2 linked regions of the Arabidopsis thaliana genome follow. The protein of the gene in region 2 interacts with the protein of the main gene of each other region in a pairwise test. Each region holds a gene or a part of one and is shown on either strand. Other genes may lie near its edges. The genes, in order: UMAMIT27 and IRX15.

What was found.
Region 1: the proteins of IRX15 (region 2) and UMAMIT27 interact in a protein complementation assay, tested with the Arabidopsis thaliana proteins (one large-scale study listed by BioGRID).

Annotation. Positions count from the first base shown.
Region 1 is NC_003070.9:3,843,791-3,862,346, forward strand, and holds UMAMIT27 (nodulin MtN21 /EamA-like transporter family protein), read left to right. Parts: upstream 1-9,393; 5' UTR 9,394-9,526; coding exon 9,527-9,729; intron 9,730-9,967; coding exon 9,968-10,030; exon of another isoform or gene 10,031-10,204; coding exon 10,205-10,321; intron 10,322-10,551; coding exon 10,552-10,951; intron 10,952-11,079; coding exon 11,080-11,231; coding exon of another isoform or gene 11,232-11,256; exon of another isoform or gene 11,257-11,345; coding exon 11,346-11,469; 3' UTR 11,470-11,717; downstream 11,718-18,556. Other genes in the region: AT1G11410 (S-locus lectin protein kinase family protein), read left to right, coding at 1-74, 168-494; DUF2 (agenet domain protein (DOMAIN OF UNKNOWN FUNCTION 724 2)), read right to left, coding at 791-1,476, 1,601-1,685, 1,753-1,872, 1,962-2,048, 2,154-2,555, 2,648-3,082; MORF9 (plastid developmental protein DAG), read left to right, coding at 3,483-3,844, 4,621-4,718, 4,816-4,881, 4,976-5,148; AT1G11440 (uncharacterized protein), read left to right, coding at 5,628-6,719; UMAMIT26 (nodulin MtN21 /EamA-like transporter family protein), read left to right, coding at 13,215-13,417, 13,580-13,642, 13,805-13,921, 14,432-14,834, 15,126-15,277, 15,403-15,478; AT1G11470 (Pentatricopeptide repeat (PPR) superfamily protein), read right to left, coding at 16,084-16,329, 16,437-16,498, 16,588-16,732.
Region 2 is NC_003074.8:18,616,474-18,622,848, forward strand, and holds IRX15 (IRREGULAR XYLEM protein (DUF579)), read right to left. Parts: upstream 2,344-6,375; 5' UTR 2,168-2,343; coding exon 1,199-2,167; 3' UTR 951-1,198; downstream 1-950. Other genes in the region: AT3G50230 (Leucine-rich repeat protein kinase family protein), read left to right, coding at 4,090-5,539, 6,159-6,375. UniProt on the Arabidopsis thaliana protein: Required for xylan biosynthesis, but not directly involved in catalyzing the addition of sugars to the growing polymer.

The sequences.
Region 1 (18,556 bases), on a different chromosome or scaffold from region 2:
TATTGATCTTAGAGATCATAACCGGAAAGAGAAACAGTGCTTTTTATGAGGAATCTTTGAATCTAGTCAAACATGTAAGTAAAAACTTCTTCCTTTCTTTGACATAACTTGGGGATACAGAGGAGCAAAACAGAACATAAGCAAACGTTTGTTTCTTCGTCTTGTAGATTTGGGATCGATGGGAAAATGGTGAAGCTATAGAGATCATAGACAAATTAATGGGTGAAGAGACGTATGATGAGGGCGAAGTAATGAAGTGCTTACACATTGGGTTACTTTGCGTGCAAGAAAACTCTTCAGACAGACCAGACATGTCCTCTGTTGTCTTCATGTTAGGTCATAACGCCATTGATCTTCCATCTCCGAAGCATCCTGCATTTACGGCGGGAAGGAGGAGAAACACCAAAACTGGCGGCAGCTCAGATAATTGGCCCAGCGGAGAAACCAGCAGTACTATTAACGACGTTACTCTCACCGATGTTCAAGGTCGTTAAGAAGTGTATTCCTCTTCTTTATAATCTAAGAAGACTATAGGTATCAATTTATAGTAATACTTGTTATATAGAAAATTATGTGTTTAAAGCGTATGCAAACTTATTTGTATAAAGTTTACAAATACCTAATGAAAAGAAAAGTTAGCCTCATTATACAGGGGATTACATGGTTAGCTTCATTTCTTCTCTACATAACCCGACTTTTATCAACCACTAACCAACCATATTAATAATGATCTCATAAAAATCTTTAAATCAACTTAGAAAGTGCTCACCATAGGTTTGTTTTTCTTAACTTACCAAGGAGCCGACAAAATTGTCTCAAACTCAAACTCCACATCTTCAAGCTCTACATTGAGATCTTTTGCACATGACTCCATCTGACATATCTTTTTCCAGGCTGCATCTTTCTGTTCTTTTTCTGCTTCCTTTTGTTCTTTTAGAGCAGCTTCTTGCCTCTGCAGCTCGATAATCTTGTGTTTCACCTCAAGAATCTTTTGTTCCATGTCATCAAACTCTTGTTTAGCCTTGCTAAATTCATTTGTCATCTCCTTGTCAAAACCTTTTAGTTCCTCCATTATATATAGTTGTCTATCTTTGAGTGCTAACAGCTTGTCGATCCGTGATAATGGAGTTGTAACATTGAAGCCATGTTTCTCGAGCTCCGAAAATGAATCTTTAAGGCTATTTAGTTGGCTTACAGGAACGTCGGCTTCAAGATCTTTAAATTTCTCCAGTAACCCAAAATAAGTCACCATCATACCTATTGCATACCCTTCACGGAAATCTTGCTTAGTCTCAAACAATGGGCTGAAATGAAGACTGTGTGATACACTTTTGAAGACCTCCAGTGATTCATAAGTCTTCCAGACCGGTGACTTCTTTGCAAAAGGCAAAACCATTATTGTGTGTTTTGCATGGTTTTCCTCAGCATTAGAAGCAGAATTCTTCACCACATTGGGGGTCCGATCCGAGGATAACACTGGACAGATGAACGCATACACAACACAATGAGAAAATAAAGGCTTATCTACCAGTAATAGTACAATGAGACCATTGCAAGCGGGTCCTACATTCCAGAATGTGCAATGAGAGTTAAGACATACCAGTCTTATTGATGTATGAATTGAGCTTTAGACCTCCTCTTTTCCTCTTTCGAGTATAATATTTGATCTTAGGCTCCTCAGGCATCTGTGCATAGAAGTGTTAAACCAAAAGGAGAGCCATCTCAAAGATAAATAACAATCATAAACAATACCTTCTCTCGAGTTGACTCATTTCCAAAGCCATTCTTCATTGGCACAGGGGATACCTTTCCTTGGGTTTTGTTCTTTGTTGCAGTTACCCCCAGGGTTATAGGTAAACCAGATTCTTTTTTCTGGAAAACAAAGACCATAGAACAATTTCAGGGCGTAGAAAACAAACAAGGTTATAAAAGAATCCACTAGCAGGGTTATGACCATATACCACATCATCAGCCATCTCATTTCCCGGTGGTTCCTTTGTCTGCACATTTCTGTTGCCGTCTAAAGAAGTTTCTTTCTGGCGTTTTGGCTGAAAATGGAAATAACATAACAACACTTCAATTAATCCTCAAAGATGTCACACTAATTAAACCAAACCAACACAATGTTGCCTGCAACTAGTGATACAATTTACCTTTGTTCTTTTATGCCAAACTCCATCTTCCCACTCCATTGGAGGCCTAATATCAGAGTGATTAAATTGCGATGCCTCCTTTGTTGCCCCGAAACTTACCATGTACCTTCCCTCAAAGACAATTCCCCTGACCACACCTTGACGCCATTCAAAACCACTAAACGCCTCTACATGATCCAGCAATTCATACTTTCCAACAGATAAAGGAGGCTGCATAGGCCTTAGTCTTAGGGAATCAACAATTAAATTTTTCGATTCCCGGCAGCTATAGGACTTATTCCAGTACTTGACAAGAAACCTCTTGTCCTTCTCCAACTCCTTAATGACAATTACCGGAATCCAAGCACAATCAAATCTCAATTCCACCATTGTCCCGCAACTAAAAACAGACTTGACCAATTCCTTCAAAGACAAAAAACAAACATACAACAACGGATAAAGTTAACAACTTTTTCATGCAAAGGCGAAACGATTTCAAAAAAAACTCATCATACCTTATTATCAGGTCGGATCCATTTGAAGCCGGTCCAATCAAGATGAACCCTCAATTTCTTTTTCTCAAACTGAATAATGTCTGGTGGGCAATCGAAGTAAACCAAAAACTTCTCATCCTCCATTGTTTTTACCACCACACCAGTCCACCACCCATCTTTGAGATAAGCGTCGACCATCAAGCCTTCTACAAAAACGACGCCGTCGTTCACATCCTCCGACGGGACAGGACGAATGAACCTCTGATCGACGAATTCCGTTAAAGGAGCCAAACGGTGTTCATTGAGCTGCGTCAAGTAACGAACTTTAAGCTTATTGTGTCCTGATTTCGTTGGATTATCTTCCAGAATCGCTCTGTAATAAGACCCTTTTAACTCTTCTTCTTCAGAAAAAACTTCTACTTTGTCGTCTTTTCTAATGAATATCATCTGCTCCATCTCAAAAACCCTTGAATGAAAACTAATAACGGCTCATTTTTGCTCTGCTAACCCTAAATCTAAAAAAAGACTTTTCTGCTGAAACCCGAAAACCATAGATATGATTATATGAAGGAGACTTTTTGCAACCAAAACACAGTGCTACTGTGTCTGTGCTTAGTGTCGATATTCACGATACACATCGGGGAAAGTGTGTTTTCTTTTTTTCTTTCCCAATTTACTTTTCTTTTTTTTTGGCGCTTGAAATTATGAGAAAATGATTTAAGAAATTATCAGGCCCAAACTATCTAATGGGCCTAATTAAAAACGGTGTCGTTTCATAGGATCCTCATCACGAAGCAGGTAAGTAAAAATATATCTTATCTTCTCCAAAACTCTCTCTTCGATTTCAGCAATTGCAATGGCTTCCTTCACAACAACTTCTTCTTCCTCGCTTCTCCTCAAAACTCTTCTCCCCGTAAGCCACCTGAATCGTTTCTCTACACTCTCTGGTATCCGCGTTGGCGATTCATGGACTCCTCTGCTCCGGAACATCTCCACCGCTGGGTCTCGGCGTCGAGTGGCGATTGTGAAAGCTGCGACGGTGGATTCGGATTACTCGTCGAAACGGAGCAATAGCAATGAGCAGAGAGAGACGATTATGCTTCCTGGTTGCGATTACAATCATTGGCTCATTGTAATGGAGTTTCCTAAAGATCCAGCGCCAAGTAGGGATCAGATGATTGATACTTACCTTAACACTCTTGCTACTGTTCTTGGCAGGTTCGTTTTCGCTTTCTTATTGATTCTCTTCGTTGTTGAATTAGTTAACTAATAGACGACATTTACTTGTGTTGCTAATGGACTTGTCCTTTGATTGAATCCAATGTTGCGTATAGGAAGATTTGGTTTTTTGTTAGATTAGGGTTTTTGATGATACTTTAGGGTAAGGGTTTAGTGAGCTGAGTAAAGCTTTCAGCTTTAAATTTGCTCTGAAGTTGACCTAGTTCCAGAATTTGTTCTTAATATCAGGTGTAATCTTTAGCTGACTTGTTTTTCGTCTCTTGATATGTGCAAACTTATTGAACATTGCTGCATATTGAACACAAAACATTGGTGTCTGATTTGATATCTAAAACTTTGTGCTCTTTAGCGTAATTATGAATGAAATTAGGGGGAAGAATAGAAGCATCTATTTTTGCATATTTTCTTCAAGCTATGTATAAATTGTAGGTGATTGTGCATGGTTTCTGTTTGTTAAAAACTTGATGTGGACAGTGTAAGCTAGTAATGTATGTAAAAGGAGTGTACAATTGTGCAGAGCATTAGATTGGGACTCCTGACTAGAAATTTCTTGGTATGGCAGGGAACGAGTTTGTGTTACACAACTAATGACTAAAACTTTAGTTTATTTGGTGCTACTCTCTATTTTAGAGAACTTTGATTCCGGTTTACACTATCCTGCTGATGTGATAACCAATTAATGTACTTGTGTCCATTTTCCAGCATAACCAGTTCATCGTGTTTGCTTATTATATGTACTTGTGTCTATTTTCCAGCATGGAAGAGGCGAAGAAGAACATGTATGCATTCAGTACCACGACATATACTGGATTCCAATGCACCATCGACGAAGAAACATCTGAGAAGTTCAAGGGTTAGTTAGTGAGCAAGAAGAGCCTTAGTCCCCTTATTGAAAGTTCGTCGAAAACCTTCAAGATACTGATCGTTCTGTCTTTTCATTATTTTCACAGGTTTGCCTGGAGTTCTCTGGGTCTTGCCTGACTCCTACATAGATGTCAAGAACAAAGACTATGGAGGTAACCCATCAAAGCCTGATTTTAAACTTTCTAGGATCTCTCTCTCTCCCAGTATCCATGTTCTGATAATTGAATCGTTCTTTCTCGGGTTTAGGCGACAAGTACATCAATGGAGAGATTATCCCGTGCACATACCCAACATACCAACCAAAGCAGCGCAATAACACTAAGTATCAAAGTAAGAGATACGAAAGAAAAAGAGACGGTCCTCCACCTCCTGAACAGAGGAAACCAAGACAAGAACCAGCAGCCTCTGATTCCTCTTAAACTATAATAAGATAATGGAGTGTTTGCAAGTTTTGATCTTTTGGTTAGCACTTAGCTTGTTGAAGTCGTGTGTAAAATCGTCTAGTACCAAATGATGATACTGTATCATCACACCTTGAACAATAGCTATTGTTATGTTAGGATGAAATTCAACTTGAACCATTTGTTTATTTAGGTAATGTTCGGTTTTGGTTTGGTTTGATTCTTTGTCAACCACTGCTTTTTCCCCACGTTTTCTCAACACCAATTTCAGACAAGACAAAACAATTGTAGGGTCACACACTCGTCACCAACTCACCATCTACATCAGTCGTCCCTACCTTATCAACACATCACATGGAAATAATACACTACTCTCTCACGGACTTGGAACCAAACATTCCAAATTAGTTTAATCGACAGATCACTGCTCAGCTGAATCGTTTTCTCTCATCAACCGCAGAGAAAGACTTTCAAGATCATCCTTCAAGCTCTCTCAAATGGCCAACTTCTATGAGAATTACCAGAGTCCTTACGATTACAATCAGGTTAATAATCTCTACGATCAAAATCATTATCATTACAATCAACAGCAGCAGCAGCTTGGTTTCGAACCAATGAGTTATAATTATTACAACTGGAATGAATCTGAATCTGAATCTGAATATGTTGCTTACTCTGGTTATGATGATCCAATGAGTTATAATTGTTATAACTGGAATGGATCCGAGTCTGAGACAACCTCTGCATATGTTGCTTACTCTGTTTCTACCATGTCTGAGCCTAAACACTTGTTCTATGATCCGAATCTCTATACAACCTACGAATCTCCTCCTCAGTTTAGTATCTATTGCTCTGTAGCCTCTGCTCTTGACTTCAACGAGCCGGAATTCGATGAATACGATCCCACGCCGTACGGTGGTGGCTACGATGTTGTTGCAACCTATGGAAAACCTCTTCCTCCATCGGTGGAAACTTGTTACCCTTGTTCAACCGCTCCTCACGCTAAAGCTCCCTCTCCTCCTGAGATTATTGCTCCTGTTCCTCTTGGAATTTATGATGGTGGTCAAAAGAATGTTGTCAAGAAACGTGTGTCTTTTGCTGAACCGGTAGAAGAAGTCAAACCAATAGAAACCATTAAAGAGCAAGAACAAGAACAAGACGAAGATTATGATGAAGAAAGTGAGGACGAAGATGATGGTGATGATGATGATGAAGAAGAAGAAGAAGGGGATGAGGAAGCTAAAGAAGAAGAAAAAGATCACAGTTCAAGCTATGGAAATGAGGAATATGAAGTCGTAGATAAAGGAGAAGTGAAAGCTTTGTATGTTCCGTCTGGTTACGGATTAGAAGCGACCGATCTCTGTGAGGTTATATTTGGAGGTTACTTTCCTTGTGTGTTACGTAACAAAAGACGTCAGGAAGATGAACAAGATCGTGGGGCTGCTGTTTCTTGCTGGGAAAGCAACGATTCTGATCCGTGGAAGACAACTTCCGATCACCTTTTCGGGGATTCATATCCGTACGGTTACGAGAATCGGAGCGAAAGAAATCAGTTCGAGGTCTCCTCTTATGGTTACCGGATGTATTAACAACCCTAGTTATCATCAGTTGTGTCAATGTGAGGTAAGAACAACATTCTTTTGATTATTGATGAACCTGATTTTTTAGTATCTGTTACACAAGAGATGAGATTTACTGTTGTATAACGAGGAGGGGTTACTTAATAATAAAACGTCGCACGCAAAATCTATCTTCAACCTTTCTATTTGTAACATTCTCTTTAACACGTTTGTTTAAAATCTAAAATCTTTAAATACTACACTCGATGTGATAATTGATTACTGTATCCATCGTAATTATTATTGGTATATATACATTTCTTTGTGAAAAACACCAAATAAATGAAAGAATTGTATCATGGTATATCTAATATCTATCACTGTGAGTACAAGTGCAGAAGAAATTGTAGAAGTAGAAAAGTCAACGATAAAGATGAATTAGCTGAAGTTGAAGAACACTCTAATAAGTAATAACAAACAATGAACACCATGGGGGTTCTTGATTATCTTAAATGAAAATTAGTACCCGATTCAAAAGAATATCATTTTTTTGTGTTTTTGGAAACTCTTTTGAGACGTTAACATGTTGACTAATAAATTATGTGTAAATATACTTTTTTGCAGAAATTATTTTTGTGGATGTATAACTTGTTTACCTGAGCATGTAAGTATATGGAATTTTCAAAACTGTACTACGTATAGACAATATGCAAATACAGAAAACAAAACAAAATACCGTATTTACACGCGATATTAATAAGGTTCAATGACATGCTACTTCTTAACTAAAACAAAATTTAAAATGATTGATGAAAGCTTTACATGTGCGTCATGGAGGCTTAACTTTGTTTTGAGACGTCTACTTCTTTTTTTTTATTCTTATCCCTTTCCAATTTAGTTATATGTAGTATAATCAGATTAATTCACCATATATAAAACCCTTTTTCAAAAAAAAATAAAAAAAATTATAAAAGTATAATAATTATTGAGCTGTTGGTTATACTGTTTTAATTTCATCGAATACTTTCTCTGTTTTGTTTTAAATGATGATCCAGAGAATTTTGTTTATCTTATTTCAAGTGATGTTTTCAAAAGTTTAAATATATTTGATTGTAACCATTTATATAATAGAATATGTTTTTTACTAGTTGAATTAGTTTTATTTTAACAATTTATATATATAAAATAAACAAAATATTTTTTTTATTATTTCTTAATTTATGTGAAAAACTTTAGATATGATTTAATATGAAAAGATAGAATATATTATATACCAATCTTGTAAATTTATTCTAGAACTAAGTCAAAACCACTAACTTTTCTTTTGTGACAACTTTTTTATAAAAAAAATTTAACATCATTAGAACCACTAACTCAATTGTTATTATATTTGGTGAATTGATCTAATTAGTAGAAGGAATATATATGTCTGCACTACTGGAGAGAAAATGCCCCGTCCATTATGTTCTAAGCCTTTTCTAGATAACTTACTGAATCTAAAAATAGCATCTGCTTTTTGTCCCTACAAAGTTATATGGACAAACTAAAGGAATGAAAGAGTTCGATATACCCAAATGGGGATAATATAATTTTTTCATCAACTTTAAAAGTTCAAATATAGAGCTAATTATACGCATTTATAATTAACAAAAACGAGATAGTGCAAAACAAGATGGATCCAATGAAAAGACAAAAGAGAATAATTAATGGATCGAATATAATTCAAAATGGGCACAAAACAAATTTGCACGCAAAAAGTTATTGAATGAGAGTTGCAAAATCTCATATAGTACTTATTTACTACATATGATTAGTTTATCTCGTTGAAAAGTTCGTGTTTTTTCCTATTTTGCACCAAATTCAACAAATCCTTGAGTCAGTCCAATTACAATTGAAAGTAAAGAACCCAAACTTGAACCTATACGACCAGACGGAGACGGGCATGCAAGTGTTTAAGTGTCATTAGATTACAAATGTTTAAGTGTCATTAGATTACACGAAGTATAGATTTAGATATACCAACTAGCTCGGGTTTGCATGACTTATTTTTTCTCACTAAACTCAGTTACATCATCTCTCCGACTCTCTTTTATGAAAATCATTTTGCTAATTAATAAGGTGCGCGGCAGATAACACGCATGATAAAGCCAATGTATCGGTTTCTCATTTACTCATATAACGTATAAAATGGAAAAGCTAATTCATCGGCGCCTCATGAAACGTGTGATAAAGCCAATGTATCGGTTCTCATTTCTACTATATAATAAATAAATAAATATAACAGTAAATATACACATATTGACCGGAAAAAAAAAAGATTGTTACCGCATGAGCAGTTATATTTGTGACGACTTCTTAAACTTAAGTATCCTACTAATTTTGTTCTTTCATTAGTTAATAATATGCTCGGGTTTGTAGTAGTGCTTTGTTCTTCACAAACGCTTATCCTATATAAAAAGAAAGTTTTTTTAGACCAGAAAAGTAAATAAAATTAAGCTAGTTGTGTGTAGGAACATTCAACTTGTTCAAATATTTGAACTATTTTGTAATTTATAATTTTACATAATGTGGAACAAGATTCTAATATTATTTAAATTGAACTTGACAGCACTAAGTTTTTTATTTATTTATTTTTGATAGAAAGACCACTAAGTTAATATAATAGAGCAATAATTCAGGGGTTTTTTCTATTAAAATGACAGAACCCAAACACAGTACTCTTTCTTATAAGTTATAAATATGGGAAGGGTGGTTGCCAAACTCAAAGTACTTTGGGTCTTAACTCTTTCTAACACACAAACTCACATAGAATTCAAGAAAGAGAGAACGAGGGAGAGATGGGTGAGGATATGCGAGGAGTGAAAGTAGTCTCAAAATGGCCACCGATGATAGTTATGGTGACATCACAAGTAGCGATGGGTTCGGTGAATGCACTTGTGAAGAAAGCTCTTGATGTTGGTGTGAACCATATGATCATTGGTGCTTATCGAATGGCTATTTCCTCTTTCATTCTGGTTCCTATCGCCTATTTTTTGGAAAGGTTTATTGATATTTTGATGAAAATAGTTGAGTTATATATTTTTCTTATGCAAAATTTTCAAAAATTTGATTATATCAAAATAGTTTTTTCATATTTACATAATTAACAACATTTACTACAATTGAAGATTGTCAGAATGCTCTATTATAACATGTAAATAAACACCACTACATGTTACTAATATATGAAGTAGATTGATATTTTCTTTCCCCTAAAGTTTATGTCTTATTGTTAACAGGAAAATAATACCGAAAATAACGTTTAGGCTAATGGTCGATCATTTCATCAGTGGTTTGCTCGGGTTTGTCTTCTCACAATTTCTTATGTTCTTTTGTCGTCCATTTTCCATTTTCCTTTTCCATTATACATTGATTGTTTCCACAGAAGAAAGATTTTCTTTCAAGTGAGCATAAAATCTTCATAAGCTAGCTAAATTGTTTTTAATCTTAGCTTAGTTTTGGGTTTAAATTTGCAGGGCGAGTTTGATGCAATTTTTCTATTTGCTTGGTCTGTCCTACACGTCAGCAACTGTTGCGTGTGCTTTGGTAAGCTTGATGCCTGCAATCACCTTTGCTTTCGCTCTTATTTTGAGGTAATTATGGAACCATCTAACTTCTTTATCATTAAAATAAGTACTGTATTTACTATTACTATGCAATGGGTTCATGCAGGATTTATTCGTATTTGTTATGTATACAGTGCATATAATTTCTTTTGTTTTTTCATCAAGCATATTATACTTCTATATATAGAAATACTCAAAAGAACCTTACTCATAAATTATCTCAAATTTATCATCTAAAAGGTTATATTACTTTTCAGAACTGAGAAGATAAAAGATCTAAAGACCCAAGCAGGAATGATAAAAGTGATGGGAACTCTAATATGTATAAGTGGAGCTTTGTTCTTAACATTTTACAAAGGCCCTCATATATCAAACTCTCACTCTCACCTAGAGGCTCTTCCTCACAACAACAGCGATCACAACACCAAGAATTGGCTTCTTGGATGTCTCTACTTAGTCATAGGAATCGTGTTGCTATCTCTATGGATATTGTTTCAAGGGACTTTAAGCATCAAGTATCCTTGCAAATTCTCAAGCACTTGTCTCATGTCAATTTTCGCAGCTTTTCAATGTGCTCTATTGAGTCTTTACAAGAGTAGAGACCTTAAACATTGGATCATCGACGATGGATTTGTGATTGGTGTCATAATATATGCTGTAAGTTATAATACTATATTATCAGAAATCTTAACATTTTTATAAATTATAATGTAGTATATATGTAAATAATTAAATAAATTTTGGGGTTTACCTAATATTACCTTATTACTATACACGTATTATAGGGAGTGATAGGACAAGCAATGTCGACTGTAGCAGCGACATGGGGAATAAACAGATTAGGAGCTGTTTTCGCATCAGCAATTATGCCAGTTTCTCTCATATCGGCTACTCTATTCGATTTCCTTATCTTACACACTCCTTTATACCTCGGAAGGTGCTCTCTTCGATCATCTCTATGAAATTTTTTGTATAGCTTTATAGATGTTAATGTATTAGGTTCATGCTCGTATTACTAATTACAATTTATTTTGTAACTTTTGCTATACAGTGTGATTGGATCAGTAGGGACAATAATAGGTCTCTACGTGTTCTTGTGGGGTAAGAACAAAGAAACGGAAGCAGACATAACTACATTGTCTTCTCGGATGAACAACGAAGATCAACGAGTCTAGGTCGCCCATTTAATCAAATAATATTGTTGTCATAGAAAGATTCATATGGCTTCATTGTCGTAAATTAGTATTTACTACTGAATACATTTACCGTAAAGACCAGTCATAAATATTTAGATTTAAATTGTGCAAGCACACTCACGTTAAAGACCAGTCATAAATATTCAGATTCAAATTGTGCAAGCAGTTTGTATAATTCATACTTTTCGTTTGCAGATTTATAATTTCGTAAAGAGATAACAAAACAGATTTGTTATAATATTCAAAACTAACCAATATAAAGCATATATGATATATCAAAACATTTCACAACAGATCTGTTAAAAGAGCCTCGTAATATTGTTTTTAGTTTCAAAAGCTCTGTTTCTTGGATTATTTTCGTGCTGATTTTAAATGTGTTGCGTTTTGAGTTTGTAGCCTGTTGCTAAAACAGTAAGAATTTAAGGTCTAGAAAAAATAAAGACCAATTGTAATTAGTACTACTGTATATATATTATGCACTACTGGAGTGAAAATGCCCCGTCCATTTTTTCTAAGCCTTACCTTAATCTAGAATAGCATCTGCTTTTTGTCCCTACAAAGTTCGACGGACAAAATAAAGGAAGGCAAAATTTCGATACCCATATTGGGGAGAAACAACTATATACTAATACAGTATAATTTTTTTCATTAACTTCTATATTGAAATGTATAACAATTATTATGTGCATTATAAATAACAAAAACGAGGTACTGCATGGATCCAGTGAAAGGACAGAGCGTAAAAGGGATCGAATCCAAATTGGGAACAATAAAATGGAGAATTATTGAATGAGAGTTGCAAAAATCTCATATAATTATGATAACTTTTTCCCATCATATCGAATCAGAATTCAATATGACGTGGTCATCGTAGATGGGGAATTCAGTATAATACTTTAGTGTTTATGTGTCATTAGATTACACTAAGTATAGATTATACCGACACTGTTTTACTTCATTTGCATGACACGGGTGATAACGCCAATGTATTGGTGTCTCATATAACGTATAGAATGGAAAGCTAAGGTATCGGTGTCTCATGGAACGTGTGATAAAAGCCAATGTATCGGTGTCTCATGCATTTCTACTAAATATAAAAGTAAAAATAATACAGTAAAGGCAATCGTCATGTATATATCGCAACACTGACCTGAAAAATAAATAAAAAATATTTTACCGCAGTAATTATATTTGCGACAACTTCTTAAACTTAAAGCTAACGATTTAATCCATTACTCAATAAGAATATGCTCGGGTTTGTGCTTTGTTCCCTCCTCACAAACACTTATCTTATATAAAATAAAGTTTATTTTTTAGATTAGTCTTAACCAGAACAACAAAAAAATATATACAAATTAATTAGCTAGTTGTGTGGGTGGGAACATTCAAACTATTTAAATATTTTGACAAAAAAAAATTTTATTATTTTTTTTTACTTTTCACACATAATGCGGAACAAGATTCTAATATTATTTAAAATGAACTCGAGTAGACACCACTAAGTTTTTTTGTAAAAAATGTTTTTGATAGAAAGACAACTAAGTTAATACAACAATTCTTCAACTCAGGGTCTTTTCTATTAGAATTAGAGAACCCATACACACATGTTTCTTATATATATAGAGGAAGGTTTGTGGTTGCCAAACTCAAAGCACATTGGGTTTCAATTCTTTTTAACGCACATACACCAAATGACATAGAAAGAAAGAGAGGACGAGAGAGGGATGGGTGAGGATATGCGAGTAGTGAAAGTAGAATCAAAATGGCCACCGATAATAGTAATGGTAATATCACAAGTAGCAATGGGTTCGGTGAATGCACTTGTGAAGAAAGCTCTTGATGTTGGTGTGAACCATATGATCATTGGTGCTTATCGAATTGCTATTTCCTCTTTCATTCTGGCTCCTATCGCCTATATTTTGGAAAGGTTTGATTTTTTTGATGAAATAGTAAGTTATTTACTTTTTTGGCGAATATTGTGAGAATGCTCTACTTTAACATGAAATAAATATAAACTAGTATTTGTTACTAATATATGAAGTTTAATTATTGACATTTTTTCCTAAAATTTACGTCTTATTGTTAACAGGGAAATAATACCGGAAATAACGTTTAGGCTAATGGTCGATCATTTCATCAGTGGATTGCTCGGGTTTGTCTTCTCAACTCAACATAATATTTGATTATGTTCTTTTGTCGTCCATTTTCAATTTCCTTTCCACATAGGAATTATTTTCTCTCAAGTAGCATAAAATTCATCATAAGCTTTTTTTTTTTTTTTAATTCTAGCTTAGTTTTGGGTTTAAATTTGCAGGGCGAGTTTGATGCAATTTTTCTATTTGCTTGGTCTGTCTTACACGTCAGCAACTGTTGCGTGTGCTTTGGTAAGCTTGATGCCTGCAATCACCTTTGCTTTCGCTCTTATTTTGAGGTAATTATGGAACCATCTAACTTCTTTATCATTAAAATAAGTACTGTATTTACTATTACTATGCAATGGGTTCATGCAGGATTTATTCGTATTTGTTATGTATACAGTGCATATAATTTCTTTTGTTTTTTCATCAAGCATATTATACTTCTATATATAGAAATACTCAAAAGAACCTTACTCATAAATTATCTATATAATGGGTCCGTGTAATTACTATCTTATGCATACAATATATACACATATAAAATTTCTTTAATTTTTTCATCAAAGATAATACTTTTATAGTAATACTCAACAGCATCTTACATATTTTTCATGTTTAATATTTGGAATGAGCCAAATAGGCCTTGGATACTATAAATATATTTATAGCATCCACACGTAAATTATTGGATTTAAGTCGATTTAAACTCCTATTTTCTCCTGTTTTTTTTTTTTTGTTTTGTAACGTAAGGACAAAAACATTTACTGTGTTAAATTATCATATAAAATTACATATCTTTTCAGGACTGAAAAGATAAAAAGTCTAAGAACCCAAGCAGGAATGATAAAAGTGATGGGAACTATTATATGTATAAGTGGAGCTTTGTTCTTAACATTTTACAAAGGCCCTCATATATCAAACTCTCACTCTCACCAAGAGGCTCTTCCTCACAACAACAACAGCGATCACAACACAAAGAATTGGCTTCTTGGATGTCTCTACTTAACCATAGGAACCGTGTTGATATCTCTATGGATTTTGTTTCAAGGGACTTTAAGCATCAAGTACCCTTGCAAATTCTCAAGCACTTGTCTCATGTCAATTTTCGCAGCTTTTCAATGTGCTCTATTGAGTCTTTACAAGAGTAGAGATGTTAAAGATTGGATCATCGATGATAGATTTGTGATCGGTGTCATCGTATATGCTGTAAGTTCTAGTGTTATATCTTCATAAATCTGAATATTTATAAATTACAGATTTTATATGTAAAAACTTAAATAAATAAATAAATTTTGGGAATTACCTTTATATTAATCAAATTAAAGTAGCAACTTTCGGTATCTTCAGATGAAAATTCTCTGTTTCAATAACCACTACAAATTTAACTAGTAATGTTTTTCTTTAGTCTCTGTTATACAAATAATTACTAGACAATCTCATGCATGTTATCAAAAAAATTGAATACTATAACTTGGATAAACAACTCTTACCTTATAGGGAGTGATAGGACAAGCAATGTCGACGGTATCAGTGACATGGGGGGTGAAGAAATTAGGAGCTGTTTTCGTATCAGCAATTATGCCAATAGCTCTCATTTCGGCTAGTCTATTCGATTTCATAATCTTACACACTCCTTTATACCTCGGAAGGTACTCTCTTCTATCATCTCAATGAAATTAAATTCGTTTCTAAATAGCTTTATATATGTAAATGTATGTAGGTCCACGATCATAACACTAATTAAAAAATTTATTTTCTAACTTTTGCTACACAGTCTGATTGGATCAGTAGGGACAATAACAGGTCTCTACGTGTTCTTGTGGGGTAAGAACAAAGATATGGAAGCATAACTACATTGTCTTCTCTAATGAATAACGAAGACCAAAATTAAATATTAGTGTCGTATTATTGTTCTTAGTTTCAAAACCTCTGTTTCTTGGATTTTTTTTTTTTTTTGTGTGTGTGTTGCTTTTAAATGTATCAATGTGTTGCTAAAACAGTCTGAAAGGGTAATTTTATGTGATATGGACTGTAATTTTTCGAAAAGTTCACAAGTGCCATTGGTAAATGATATATAAACTAATAACATCGAGAGGCGCACTATATGAAAAATGGAGGAAGCCATGCCATGAAAGAACGTCGATGCATTCAAAATGAGATTTGAAATTCCTAATTAAAGTTAAGACCAGTTGTATTAGTGTTATGCAGAGTAGTATATTATTCTACTTGGATTAATTCACAGTAAAGAAGAGATATACATAATTCAAAGGCTTATTGTTATTTCAAAGCAAAACATGAAGAGGTCACCCAGTTAAGAAGAGATACATAATAAATTCAGAGGCTTATAACATGAAAAGGTATTCGACAATAGATGAAATGAAAAGAGAAGACAAAGAGTACATAAGAAAGCGCGCACACACAGACACAGACACAGACCAAATTAATAGTTAATCATTCACTTGGGAGGGCGAGTAGCGTGAACTATCCCGTTTTCCTTTAACAGCTTAGTCTCCAACTTCACGAGAGACACGAAAGCAGGCCAATTCTCGGTACGATTGTGCATTTGGTCGCAGTTTGGGTCTACTTTCTTCAAGTAGGAGTGAGCAGCAGCTATGCCGATAGTGTTACCAATGATATCCACAAAGAGTGCAACCTCAGAGGTAGAGAAACTCATCTCCTTTCTATGCATCCACATAAAGATCTAACAACAACCAAAAAAACAAACTTTCATAAATCCTAACACAATGATCTCTAACTAGAAAAGAAATAGAGCGATGAATACAAAAGTTAGATAGATGAGAAAGATACCTGGAGAGCATCTACATGTTTGCCTTCCATGTAAGCTGCTTTGCCGAGCTGACGAGATCCGCCTGGGTGACGGGAACACCCTTCTTCTCTTCCTCCGCGATGATGAATTCTAAGGTCTCTCGGGTAAGAGACCTCAGCTTCTTGAAAATACCACTCTTTGCATTCTCAGCATCACAAGAGGAAGCAGAAGAAGAAGCTCCGTTGATCTGCCTGTTCCCTTTGTTCTCAGCAGAAGAAGAAAACGGAGCCGTTCTCGCGATCTTAATCTCAGCAGAAGAAGAAGAAAACGGAGCCATTGTTCTCGTAAGCGTAGAGATCTTCATCTCTCTTTTCCATAGATGAAGAGAACCTGATGATACCATTCGGCGCAAGGCCAACATTTTCCAAACCCTAATTTTGATAACCCTAATTCTCTAATATATAAAACAATCAAGTTGCCTTGTTAAAATCAGGATATGATCTCTCTTATATTAGTAGGTTACTTACACAATTACCTACATCTTTGTCGATTTGTCAGTTTGACTTATGAATCAGTCTACTAGATTGTAAAAATAAATAAAACGATGAAATGTCTATAATACCCCTAACTCTACACACGTGTGAACTTTTTGAATAGTACTGGACCCGGGTCAACCACACACAGTAGACACGAGCCTTCTTCTTCTTCTCTAAGCGAGTGAAGTAAGCTTACCAGTGGCAGTGAGTGAGCTCTTACCAGTGTTTAGGGTCTTCTGCAATTTTCCTTGTTTTGATCGGGAGCTTGATCAAGACTACTGATGCTGAGATTTACGAAAATTGCCAACGGTCTCTATGTTCCCGGTGACAGTGAAGCTCTTTACGCTTCCAAGTTTCAAGACTCCACTGCTACTTTGACTTCGCCTATCTCGCTGGTACAAGGTCTGTGGAGGTTACAGTATGGGTGATAACCTTTTCCTTCTGCGAGGAAAGCATTGTCTCGGCTTTTACTTTTGTTCATAACTTGTGGATATTGGATAGTAAAGCCTACCACTAATGGCATAACATTCAGGATGCTTCTTGGTGTGCTATGATTTGTTATAAGCGAATCACTCTCGTTGGCTAAACACTTTGAGAAAATGACTCTTAAAATGCTCTCTTGGGCTATACTGGAAACTTGCTGTGTTCAGTGGATCTTCAGGTCCTTGTTGACAACCATTAACAAGCTTAAGGTAAGAATAAAGAAACCAACAATACTTTCAGTCCTTTGATGATTTATAATTCCATAACAGACTAAGGGCAGTGCATATAGATATCTTTCGTACTCATCTGCTTTTTCTGGTCTCCATCACAAAAGCCAACTAGGTAATCATATCAATCTCTCTTTACCGTTTACTCGACCTTTTCCAATCAGGTGCTTCTGGTGTGTCTACTACTATCAGTTTTAGGTCTTTGTATACCTGATCTTATCTGCTACTGAGGCTTGTAAAAGTGATTAAAACTGTGACATTTACTCTAAGAGAAGTAACCTGTTTGATGCATTTCCCTAATATACCGGTGTGGAAAAGTGTAGGTATCTGTACTCAGCTGAAATGGTGGACGATTTTGAAGAAGATGAACTCTCATTGACTGAAAGCGGGTTGAAGAGTGAAGATGGCGTTATTATCGAGATGAATGTCTCCTGGATGCTTTTATTATCATGTTTGGGAATTTACCAAGGGAGAGGTATCAGAATCTATCTTAGAAGGTTACATTTAGCTCAAGCTTGCATCAACATCTTTACTTAGAGCTCTACGGGTTTTAGTGTGTTTGAAGTTTCTTAACTCCTAGTATAATTAGAATCTTCTGCAGCAGACTTTAGAGTTTTGGGATGTAGAGCTAACCAGAGTCGGTTTGTTTAAACTAGAATCTTTTTATGTAGCAGACTTGTTCAGTACCTGAATACCAGTTTTAAATTACCGTCAGATGTTGATCTTGTTGGTAATAATGGAGAAACGGAAGAATAATTAGACGAAACAAACTCTTTAAGAACGTATCTTTCAGTTTTCCATCACAAATTTTCTTACAAGCTACAAAAATCGAACTATATATAACTGAACCGAATTTAAACCGGAGGGAGGGTTTGACTTTGGTCAATCACATTTCCAATGATACCGTCGTTTGGT
Region 2 (6,375 bases):
GTTGTTTTGGGCTAAGAATACTAATGGGCTGTTAAGCTTAGTTAGGCCCAAGAGAGAAAATGTGTAATATGGGTTTAAATCTTAGCCAAGTACTTAAGATGGAATAGTTAAGTGTTGTTGGGGTTGTTAAGGTAAGGTTGTGTAAGGTTAGTGGCTAAGGTAAGGTTGTGTAAGTTTGCTTGCTTGCTTGTAACACTAAGGCTAATGTCTAGAGGTAAGGTAAAATAGTTGCTAAGTTTAGAGTCTAATAAGAGAATGGGTGTAGTGAGTAGAAGAAATCTAAGTATGCAATGTGTGTGAAGTTGTTTTGTACGCAAGTATGAATGATTAAGAGGGTTAAAACATTTGAAGTTGTTATATAGTCAAGATCATTGAATCTTTCGATTGCTCTTTTTGTATTTAATGGAAAAATAATTTAGGGATCGAGATTTGAAGTTTTGGGTTTTGAAAAACAATTATCAAAATGGACTAAAAAAAAACGCTCGATTTTTCTCTTAAGTTTTTCAGTTTAATTTTGCTTAAAAAGGAAACTTATTAATATTAATGTTTCAAAATTTTGTAATGAACTTTAATTTCTATTGTAACAGTGTAACTAGATAAAACCCGTGTAAACAGAAGGTGCAAGAAATAAATGCTATTTTAATCTATGATATGTTAGTTCTAAATCGTATTCAACACACTTTTTCTAGTTAATTTAATATTATTATTTTTTAATTCAATCTTACACATTCTATTTCGTTAATTTTAACTAAAAAAAAGATTTATTTTAGAATAGGTGTATCATGAATAACAAAAAATCGTATCTTAACTATAGCCAAGGAAAACAAAATATATATGAAAAACGAAAATGCTTCCGATCATCATTTTATATAAAAAACTAAATAATAAATAATTATTCACACACATAAAAGCATTTTAGTTTTGAGATATTTTGTTTTAGTGTTCAGCTTGAATGAATAAAATATTGATTTTGGTTCAAAAGTTCAGTTTACATTTGGTTATATATATCCCTAGATGTTTCATCAAATTGATTGCTTTGGCCTTTGAGAAAAAAAAAAAAAAAAAAAAGAGATTAAATTAAAGTCTTCAATAAATCCAAGATCGAAAATTTACACCAGCACAAAAAGCAAAACTTCAAGGAAAAAACTTTATTTCTTACAATAAGCAAATGTACGTATGAAGTCTTCTGGCATCACTTTTAAGACAAAGACGAAACCGAACGTTTCTTACGACCATTGCAAAACTTTGTGCTGTTTTTATCCATCTTATCCAACACGTAGTGTGCAAGCAAATCATTAGACTCAACAAGATTCTCTCGGCACAAGAACTCATCACCACAAAGCCTCTCAACGTCTCTATAATAGTCATGCACAAACACATGCGTCTTCGGAGTCCCGCCCTTTTTGCTCCGAGCAAGAACCGCCGCCGTGAAAATCGACGACATCCTCCCCGGTCCTTCGTGAGCATCGCCACGTGGCCCGTCCACAAAGATTACATCCCAATCAACATCGTAGACATGATTAGGCAAATCATTGAGACCTAATTTACAATCTGAGAAGAGAAGATTTTGCACAGGACGACACTCGTTTCCCGCGGCTTCTTTAGCCGCGGTGACGAGCTCTCCAGCTTCGTGAGCTTTTGTCGTGTATTGAACGTCGAAAACGTCGATCTCCGGGTGGATTTCTTCGAAGTAAGCCGCGTAGTAACGATTCTCCTCGATGAACACTGTTCTACCGTTGTGGTTTAACGACTTCCAAAGGAGAGTCTCGTGTGTGAGTCCGAAAACGAGAAGATTACACGGTGGAGCGCAGCGGCGGAGGACGTCAGAGATTGATTTCATCTCTCCGTAAGACATGTGGAAACTATCGTTGGATCTTGACGCGTAGTGAAGCAAAGCGTTGATTGCACTAGTTGGTAAGTTGGAGTTGGAGATGGGAGATGATGCTGAAGGTGTGGATCCTCCGGTGACGACTGCAGCTACGGCTGCGGCGACGGAGGTGTTTTTGGAAGGGATTGTGTCTCTAGTGTAGAGAAGAGTGAGGAGAAAAACTATGGTGAAGAAAGAGACGAAAGCGAGAAGCCATAAACGAGTCGTGCTCGTTTGTTTTTGGATGTAAGGATGAAGAAGGATTAGTTTTGTGTTCGTGTTCCCTGATCCGTTCTTCATTGTTCACTCTTCTTCTTCTTCTCGTTCCTCTGTTTTCTTCTTTAGAAGAGTTTTAGAGGAAGAAGGAGATTGAAGGATGGTTATAAGATTTCTCAAAGGGATAAAAATGAGGGTTGATTTAAAAGGAAGTAAGTAGTGAGCTGTTTTACGAAATGTGAGCTATAAGCAAAATTTTGTGTTAACCTAATAGAGCAATGAATAAAACATTGTGATGTACTATTTTTTACTAACGTTCTAGAAGTTAAAATCTTGGAAGTTAATTTCTTTTATTTTTTTAAAGAAGTGTTTATTTGGGAATCCATTTTTTCTTGAATTATTTGTTATATTTATATAAACGCAACGTATCAAAATGGAATGGTGGAAACTTTAAAATTCAATTTTCTTTAGGTTCTTAATTACTCGATTATGATTAAGTTAGTAAGCTGGAAACAACTTGGTTTGACGTCCATCGCTAATTCGCTATTTATGGATTTAATTGTAATTCATTATACACTAGTTTTTCCCCAAAGAGTGTATAGCTTTGTGAAACAAACCAAAAGTATAGCTTGATATTTTGAAAACAGAAATTAGCTGCAATAGTTTATGTAAAAAAGATATTAAAATATATAAACGATGATGTGTGAGGAGGTTGTTGTATGTCTAAGTAGGAGAGTTTTGGTCATTGCGAGAGACACAAGATCTAATTACAGACCAAAAGTCTCTATCCCTTATTGCTTTGGTTTAGTTCTTAAGGAAACAGACCAAAACAACGAGATACACACACGCACAGATTAAACATGAAAACAATTTATTATTTTATATAAAATAACAATTAAAAATCATTTCGCTGTCTTTGACTACCCATTGGATTGGGACATTGATAAGTATACATTATATAACTTATGTTCGTAAATTTTGAGGAAAAACAAACTCCGAAGAATACGTATTACAAGTTGCAGGGGAATTAAAAAAAGGAGTTAGTTCATAATCCCTTATTACTTTAAGACAAAATAAAACATATATTAGTTTGTATAATAATTATCAAGGGGAAAATTATACTTTCTACCACAATTCTAATCAAGTGAATCCAAATTTATTTGAATAAATACTATTATTGGTCATCTTTTAGTTACAACTTACAACAAATGAAAATCTAACAATTGCGATGATAATCAATCTAATTTTTTTTTTTCTTTCTCTTTTGTTCCTAATCACTTTATTGATAAGCTCCATTTTGATTCTCCTCACCATGTTTGCCTTTGGGCTAAAGTGCTTACCCTACTGGAGTATTGGTGGTCCTCATGAAAGACGTTAATAAGAACCCAATTATTAAATGTCGCTTATTCTGTTGAGAAAAAAAAAACAAGGTTTGGCCCATTCAAAATTTTGAGGTCAAAACCCAAAACACCTTGCCACTTGCCAAGCCCAATGCTACCCCTCCGATAAATGTAATCGCATAAATATTATTTTGTATGCCGATGGTTAAGAGATGATATTAATGCGTTGAGAAAGAACAAATGTGATATTAATGCGTGGAGAAGAACAAATGTGAACGTACGATGTCATTTTCTTTGTACCAATACAAAATTTATACAACTACGATCCAATTTTGTTAGGTATAATTTGCAAAACAAGCTATGCTTCTATCTCGTGTTCGTGTTTATTTTCATCTTGTCATTGTCTACTTATAGTCTTATATGTTATATTGTCTACCACAACAAATCATATCATATGAACACGTTACACATGGACGGTTTCGAAATACACATTAAGGGCCGATCGTTTCTTAATCTTTTGAGTTCTTTTATGTATATAATTCACTAAAATCGAGTTCATTTCATAATATCATAAAAAAATCATCCAACACATAATATACATACACACGCGTGCCACAAGATTAAACATATTTCAAAACTTTTCAGAATAATAACTGACACAGCTAGATGCTCTGCTCCGTAACACAAAAACACACACACAAAATGACACTCTTCTTCTTCTACTCTCTTCTCTTCCTTCTCCTCCTCCTCCGTATCTCCACCGCCTCTCTCCCGGCGACGAACTACTTCGACTCCTTCTTACCATCCGACGCCGTCGCACTTCTCTCCTTCAAATCCACCGCTGATCTCGACAACAAGCTTCTATACTCTCTCACCGAGCCTTACGACTACTGTCAATGGCGCGGCGTCGATTGCTCTCAAGATCGCGTCGTTCGTCTTATCCTCGACGGTGTTGGTCTCCGGGGAAGTTTCTCACCGGAGACTCTTAGTCGTCTTGATCAGCTTCGTGTTCTTAGCCTTGAGAATAACTCAATCTCGGGTTCGATTCCTGATCTATCTCCTCTCGTCAATCTCAAAACCCTAACCCTAAGCAAGAATGGTTTCTCCGGTACTCTTTCTTCTTCAATTCTCTCTCTTCGTCGGTTAACAGAACTTGATCTATCGTTTAACAACTTCTCCGGTGAGATTCCGTCGGGGATCAATGCTCTGAGTCGACTCAGTTCTTTAAATCTCGAGTTTAATCGACTTAACGGAACTCTCCCGCCGTTAAATCTTTCTTCTCTGATTTCATTTAACGTTTCCAGTAACAACCTCACCGGTTTAGTTCCGTTAACAAAGACTCTGTTACGATTCAACGCGTCTTCGTTTTCGTCAAACCCTGGACTCTGCGGTGAGATCATTAACCGATCTTGCGGTTTACATTCTTCTTCTCCGTTCTTTGGTTCACCTAAACCAAACACCACGTCATCAACATCTTCTGCTTCTTCGTCTGAAGCACCGGTTATTCAAAGTGAACAGAACGGTGAAGCAGCGATGATTGTTCCACCGGTGGTTAAAAAGGTTAAAAACGGTTGGTTAGTTCTTGGTTTCACCATTGGTCTCGCTTCTTTGATAGTTCTAGGTCTCTGCCTCGTCGTGTTCTCGTTGTTTATAAAAAACCGGAGAGAAGACTACGATGACGTGATAATTACGCAACCTAAGCGAGAAGAAGAAAACAAAGAAATCAAGATCCAATTTCAAACCACTGCGCCGTCGTCGAAAAAGCGAATCCCAAGAAACGGAGATTTGATATTCTGCGGCGAAGGAGGAGGAGGAGGAGAAGCAATGTACACAGTTGACCAGTTGATGAGAGCTTCAGCAGAGCTTTTAGGAAGAGGATCAGTAGGTACAACGTATAAAGCGGTGATGGTTAATCAAATGATCGTGACGGTGAAGAGATTTGCTCCGTCGAAAACAGCGATTACTAGTGATTTAGAGTTTGAGAATCAGATGGAGATAGTTGGTGGACTTAAGCATCCGAATCTTGTTCCGGTTAAAGCTTATTTCCAGTCAAATGGAGAGAGACTTGTCATCTATGAGTACCAACCTAATGGAAGTCTCTTCAATCTTATTCATGGTAATGTTCTTCATCTTCTTCTCCTCTGTTTCTTTTTCTCTTGGGAACGTTAGGGTTTTAGTTGAAGTCACTGAGTCACGTAAGAGTTGTTGCTTTTTTAGGTCTAGTTAATTAAGTAATTATTATGTTGGTCTCGATCATATTGAGGTGATACTATGATAGAGACCATTGTCTCCATTATAAAGCTGAAACCTTTGTCTCGTTGATGGGTTTTGGTGCAGCTTTTATTATTTTGAAGGAACTCTAGACTTGACCACATAGAGACAATGACGGAGTTTATGATTAAAATATGTTTTGTCTTTTTCTTTGTTGAACAACTGTAGATATAAGACAGAGAATCTGTTAGGAATCTGTGCTATTTTCACGTGAAACTCTAGTCATTTGTCAGGAATTTGGTGTGTTTTGTCTTAGGACTTGAGCTAGAGTGGCTTCTTGGTTGCATATTACTCGTTTATGATTGGAAGTGTATATAAACAAACATCCATTACTAAACTTATCATCTGAATCATCATAGTAAAAGAGTCTTTTCTTTTTTATCTTGTGGTTATTGATATGAATAGACTAACTAATGACTCTGTTTTATCCCTTGATCTCTCAATTACGTTTTCATAAAATCCAGGTTCGAGAACATCAAAGGCAAAGCCATTACATTGGACATCATGTTTGAAGATAGCAGAAGATGTAGCTCAAGCATTACATTACATTCACCAATCATCAGCCAAATTCCATGGAAACCTTAAGTCCACTAACATCCTCCTTGGTCACGACTTTGAAGCTTGTGTCACAGATTATTGTTTAAGTGTCTTAACAGACTCATCTGTTCCTCCCAATGACCC